2 linked regions of the Callithrix jacchus genome follow. The main gene of each other region encodes a partner of the protein of the gene in region 2 in a complex. Links are inferred from orthologs where the notes say so. Each region holds a gene or a part of one and is shown on either strand. Other genes may lie near its edges.

Evidence for each region.
Region 1: the proteins of CFAP36 (region 2) and ARL3 are in contact, whole or in part, in a crystal structure (PDB 4ZI3), measured with the Mus musculus proteins. The link is inferred for Callithrix jacchus from reciprocal best matches to the Homo sapiens genes CFAP36 and ARL3. Residues at the interface, in NP_080016.1 of Mus musculus: Glu44, Glu45, Ser46, Lys47, Leu48, Thr51, Glu52, Lys58, Val61, Glu62, Leu65, Glu76, Phe79, Gln80, Cys83, Thr84, Ala88, Lys89, Leu97, Val100, Leu101, Ala103, Glu104, Asp105, Phe106, Thr107, Ile108; in NP_062692.1 of Mus musculus: Leu3, Leu4, Ile6, Leu7, Arg8, Lys9, Leu10, Lys11, Ser12, Arg19, Lys35, Glu40, Pro47, Thr48, Gln49, Gly50, Phe51, Asn52, Ile53, Lys54, Trp66, Ile74, Tyr77, Ser80, Tyr81.

What each region holds. Positions count from the first base shown.
Region 1 is NC_133513.1:95,689,738-95,693,237, reverse strand, and holds part of ARL3 (ADP-ribosylation factor-like protein 3), read left to right. Parts: intron 1-2,679; coding exon 2,680-2,796; intron 2,797-3,500. UniProt on the Homo sapiens protein: Small GTP-binding protein which cycles between an inactive GDP-bound and an active GTP-bound form, and the rate of cycling is regulated by guanine nucleotide exchange factors (GEF) and GTPase-activating proteins (GAP).
Region 2 is NC_133515.1:58,640,121-58,642,758, forward strand, and holds the end of CFAP36 (cilia- and flagella-associated protein 36), read right to left. Parts: intron 1,922-2,638; coding exon of another isoform or gene 1,768-1,921; intron 1,651-1,767; coding exon 1,514-1,650; intron 1,367-1,513; coding exon 1,217-1,366; intron 689-1,216; coding exon 569-688; 3' UTR 501-568; downstream 1-500. Other genes in the region: PPP4R3B (serine/threonine-protein phosphatase 4 regulatory subunit 3B), read left to right, coding at 1,768-1,921. UniProt on the Homo sapiens protein: May act as an effector for ARL3.

The DNA.
Region 1 (3,500 bases), on a different chromosome or scaffold from region 2:
TAGAAAAAATAATAAATGCTTATTATAGTAAATTTAGAAAGTATAAATAAATAAAATTGAGAAACTAGAAGTCACCTATAATGCCCAGTCAGGCATACCACTGTTCCCATGTAGGAATGTATCAAGTTTTTTCTATGCATATATATGATGGGTATGTTTAAAATAAAAAATAAAAATGGCTCATAGAGGATATATTAGTTTATATCTCATATATGTATAGGTATATACATATATATATACACATATATGTATATACCTATACATATATATATATATATATTTTTAGAGACAGGGTTTCACTCTGTTGGCCAGGCTAAAGTACAGTGGTGCCATCCATAGCTCACTGCAGCCTCAAATTCCTGGGTTCAAGCAATCCTCCCACCTCAGCCTCCTGACTGGCTAGGACTACAGGCAGATGCCACCACACCCAGTTAATTTTTGGGGGGAGAGTAGAGATGGGGTCTCACTACATTGCCCAGGCTGGCCTTGAACTCCTGAGCTCAAGCTGTCCTCCAGCCTCAGCCTCCCAAAATGCTGGGATTATAGGTGTGAGCCACTGAACTTGTTTCATCTTTTTTACTTAGTAAATCATGAATACCTTTCTATGTTATTATATATGTAAATACATATGAAATATGCATCTCTACATGTTTGTGCCCTTTCATTATTATTATTTCCTCAGAATAAATTCCTAGATTTGTTGGGTCTCATGACTTATAGACATTTAAGGCCATTGATACATATGGTCAAATTCCAAGATTTATTTTACTGTTATTTATTTTCTGCTTTATTCCAGAAAGGATTCAGTATTACTGAGTTTCACATTTAATATCATTGTTGAGTGTGGAATTTTTAAATACACCAAAGTAGTTTTGCCAATGAGTTACAATGAAACTGCTTTTTTTTAATAAGCTTAAGCCATTTCCCTTTAAAATTCTTGAGCTTCTAATGTATTCAGTCATTGGCATGTTAGAGAAGCGAGAGTCAGCAGCATCCCCCATTATCCTCCAGAGACTGTGTATCCTCAGTAGAAACTGGGTGGCAGTGTTCCTGTCTAATTGCACTGTGCCTTCTCCTTCTGTGCCACGCAGCAGTGTTGACAGGCTGCCACATGAAACAAATGTTTGTGGAGGCATCTCCAAACCTATCTAAATCCGGTTATTCTGGATGAAATGTCTCTTCTATGGTAGCAAGCTATTGATTGGGTCTTTCAAATCCTGGTTTCCCTATGTAACTTTTGCAAGAAGACTTTTAAAAAAATTCTTCATGAAATACATTCTCTCAGAACCCCAAAGTACTTGTTAATTTGTTTCTTTTCACACTAAACCACCAGCTGGCAATTCTGCCTGTCCCTGATTTGCTCACCTTCCTCAAAGTTTCACCTCAAGTAACTGTCTTAGAAATGAAGACTTCTGGCCAGGTGTGGTGGCTTGCACCTATAACCCCAGTGCTTTGGGAGGCAGGCAGATCACGAGGTCAGGAGTTCGAGAGCAGCCTGGCCAACATGGTGAAACTCCATCTCTACTAAAAACTCAACATATTAGCCACCTGGTGGCAGGTGCCTATAATCCCAGCTACTCAGGAGAAAGGCAGTAGAACCTGGGAGGCGGAGGTTGCAGTGAGCTGAGACTGTGCTGCTGCACTCCAGCCTGGGCAACAGAGCCAGACTGTGTCTCAAAAAAAAAAAAAAAAAAAAAAAAAGACGACTTCCTTTTCAAGTTCATCAGAGTTGCCTATGAAATCACAATTTTAAGTGACCACTTTTTTTTTTTTCTTTTTGAGACGGAGTTTCGCTGTTGTTACCCAGGCTGGAGTGCAATGGCGCGATCTCGGCTCACCGCAACCTCCGCCTCCTGGGTTCAGGCAATTCTCCTGCCTCAGCCTCCTGAGTAGCTGGGATTACAGGCACGCGCCACCATGCCCAGCTAATTTTTTGTATTTTTAGTAGAGATGGGGTTTCACCATGTTGACCAGGATGGTCTCGATCTCTTGACCTCATGATCCACCCGTCTCGGCCTCCCAAAGTGCTGGGATTACAGGCTTGAGCCACCACGCCCAGCAAGTGACCACTTGTTTGTTTCCATCAGTGTCTGTAACCCAGGGCTCCACCTCCCTCCTGGGCTGATATTGGAGTTAGAAATCCAGCCTCCCCCATAGTTCCCTCAGTTCTGCTCTCTTTCCTGATTAATTCCAATAGGAAATTTATTTTGAGTTGCTCTTGAAGAATCTAATCCTTTAGATTTTTAGCTTTTGCCTCTTTAAATTTAGCTTGTGTTCTTTTCTGTTGAGTCTTCAGATTCAGCTTGTTTTTTTGTTAGTTACATGAAATGTCCTGTTAAATTTTATCATCGTGAAGATTCATGGGCATGTGGTGTGTGTTGATTAATTAGAGCTATTCTCATTTAGAGTTATCCTCAGCAATTATATGTCTATATTTGTTTATTGTAGAAAAACATCATGTTAGCCTGACATTATTTACACTGACTCCACAACCTGGATGAAATAAACATGTATAAATATGTTTCTTTATTCTCTGTCACAACAAATCATTTTCAGCCTTACCAGTATCACATATAGCAGAGTATTTTAGAATTAATAAAAAACATAGCTATTAAATGTAACTTTTTCAGAATTACGACCTCAAAGTTTAATAAAACTTGATGTTTTTGCCCGTTTCAGGGTTTCAACATCAAAAGTGTACAATCACAAGGTTTTAAGCTGAATGTATGGGACATTGGTGGACAGAGGAAAATCAGACCATACTGGAGGAATTATTTTGAAAATACCGATATTCTTGTAAGTACTCCTTCTGACACGGTAACTCATAGTATTTTCTGCCATGTGTTAGAAACATGGACACTGTAATGTTCTTTCTTGGCAGTAATTCCATAGCCATAATATTAATCACTGTGAATTTAGCAGGGATAGGAGAAGACTGCAGATTATAAAGAAGAAATGAAGAAACATCTTTGTATAACTTATATAAAATGTTTTGGTGTGGGATGGTGACTCACGCCTGTAATCCTAGCACTTTGGGAGGCCAAGCTGGGTGGATCACGAGGTCAGGAGTTGAAGACCAGCCTGGCCCAGATGGTGAAACCCCCATCTGTACTAAAAACACAAAAATTAGCTGGGCATGGTGGCGGGCACCTGTAATCCCTGCTACTTGGGAGGCTGAGGCAAGAGAATTGCTTGAACTTGGGAGGCAGAGGTTGCAGTGAACCAAGATCATGCCACTGCACTCCAGCCTGGGAGACAGAGCAAGACTACGTCTCAAAAAAAAAGGAAAAAGAAGAAAAAAAAGATGTTTTGCTATCGCTCAGTAACAATGTTGTACCCACACCCATCTTGGCAAAATAAAGTGTTTACTAATTGCCATAGTGATTTGAATAGCAGAAGGGAAGTCGGAAGATCATGCCACTGACTGTCACCCCTAGGAAGACAGTGAATCAAGTGTATACCAAAGAGAACAACCAAAATAGTGAAAATACTGGAAACCA
Region 2 (2,638 bases):
TCATACAAGACCCTGCACTACTATCAGTACACCACCCATCTCCAATCTCATATGCTAAGCCTCTCCAGTTATTCAGTATGTGCTTTATTTTCTGCTGCAGAACCTGAGTTATTTCCTTACCTATTCTTTGTGTAATTAACCTTCCATTCAGCTTAAAAAGGCTTAGTTAGCCCTGCTCATAGCACTCTACCCTCTGCCTTTCTAACACTTTGGTCTTCAAGACTTTTCTACTAGCCTCATGAAGGCAGTGACGCTGTCAATCCAGTTGACTACTGTATCCTTAGCACTTAGCACAATGCCTGGCACAAACAGTAGGTAATCGAGTCTGAATGAATGAACTATCAAAGTAGTTTCTTTCTATACTCTCTTTCCAAGGAAAAACACCCAGGAATTTGTATTAAAGTAATCAATATGAGTAGCTGCCTTCCCAATTTCCTTTACCTAAAGTGTTTAAAATAATAAGATACTTGCATTTACAAAAGTGTTTGAAACTAAAGGTCTCAGTGGAAGGACTAAATTTATTTTTAAGACAATTTGAACTTCCATTTTGTTAAACTGTTTTTAATGATTACTTATTAATAACTTCTTCTTTGAGTTTCTCTGCAAGCAATCTCCTCTTTAGTAATGTTTGCTTCTCCTCTGCTGTCATTTCTGGCTTCTCTGTCATTTCTGGCTTCTCTGTCATTTCCTGAAAAAAAAGGGAAAAAAAAAGTTGGCTACACCATGAACAGGGCCATTTGTCTAAAATTCCCAATATACTACCTCAAATGAACAAAGGTTAGAGGCATTTTTTTTAGGGGTGGAAGAAGAGACAGACGTAGACTAGGTTTCCTAAATTTCTTACTCATAAAGTCTCTTCTTGGAGAAGCCCTGTTGGAAATGGTGGCTGGGATACTGATGCTGCTCTTTGAGAAAACATCTCAGAATGCTCAGGTAAAACAGACCACTGACCCTTACATACTCAGAGCAGAGCAAGTAAAGAAACAGCATAAGAAAAAAAAATGTACTATGACACCACTGTTATTTTCTGTCTCATAAAATCCTTATCACAACAATTTCACTTCCTCGAAAACACTTAGCAGCTACTGCACTAGGAGGTAGTTAATATGCATGAGTCTGCAAGCAAAATTTATTAAGAGGCTGTCTTGCACATATTCTGATTTTGAGAGTTCTACTACCAGATTTACAAATCTTGACATACTAAGGTTAGCCATACCTCTACCTCCCCAGTGGGTTTTCCCTTCTGCTCCGTATTTTGTATCTGCTTAGTCCTCATATCCTTTCTCAGGGACATCAACTTATCTCTCTTCTGCTTGAGATAGTGTTCTCGTTGCCGAAGTTCTTCTGTTCCAAGTGCTGATAAATTCTGGGTCAAATAAGAAAAGGAACTATCTAAATTCAAGTCCATTTAGTAAGTAGCACAGATGCCCACTGACTGATTCAATTCAAAGTTTGATTTCCCAGTACCTTGTCACTTTGCTTATAGTTCTTAAAAGTGATGTCTTTTACTTACTGCTATTGGTCCTTCAATGCTCGCATGTTCTAAGTCAGGAATCTTTAGGCCTTCTTGTGGGAGGGAGGAAGTTTCAGACATTTCCACCTTTCTTCCCAAAGGTTCTACTGACTGATTAGCAAAATGCACTTTAACTTCTGGCAGTAAGTAGAAAATAAGACCAATTAGAATATTAAGAGAATATTAAGTATTAGGCTAGGTTTACCAAAATGAGCTAACGTTAGTACTACTTGTTTCTCCTCATATTCACTCAGTCAACATATATTCAGTGTCTATATTGTGCCAGCCACTGGGCAAGAACAATCAACATCATCTCTATCCTTAAGAAGCTTGGAACTACAGTTTCTCACCTGTATCTCAACAAGTACCACGCTCTTGCTGTGTGTAGAGTATTACAGCTACAAAAAGGTAAAATCCTTGTCTAAAGATTTAGTATAAACTATACTATAATACAAGATTGCCACATAAGCCAAATGGGCAGTACACTAATCCCTTACTAACAATGTAATTGGTTTCCAAACTTTTGCTTGCAAGTAAAAAGTCACCCTATATTTTCAGAACAATTAATGTAAAGCTGTCATTTTTTGTACTGCGAGAATAAAAGTCACCAATGTCAATAATTTTTGTTTATAAATTGAAGGTAACTATAAACCTGCCAATGCATTGTGAAAATGTACAGATTTCTAAAGCAAGTAGAACTTGGAAGCACATATAAACATGAGCATGAAATGCTTTCCAGCCATTTGGTGACTGTGCCAACCAAGAGAGAGGGTTAACATTCTCATTGCTCCTCTGGGCCAAATTTTATTATAAGGTGATTGTTTTTAAAAAGATAAAACCTTTTCAGTGTAAGTACATGGGCTATGAAAGAAAGCACATTGAGACAAGCAATGACTTACATTAAAATGATGCTAAGATCTAAAAGCATGATAAGAAAACATGGCACACATGTCCCTAAGGATAAAAATTTTTGCCACACCTGGTTGATCCTTACAGTTAAAGAAAGAAAGAAACCTTGACAGCATACATACTAAAAGAGAAAACAGAATTTTGTCCATGCAAGAAACTTGACAACAGACCACTGCTCTAGTAGTGACTGGACTGACTATAGTGCCAGAGAGGTTG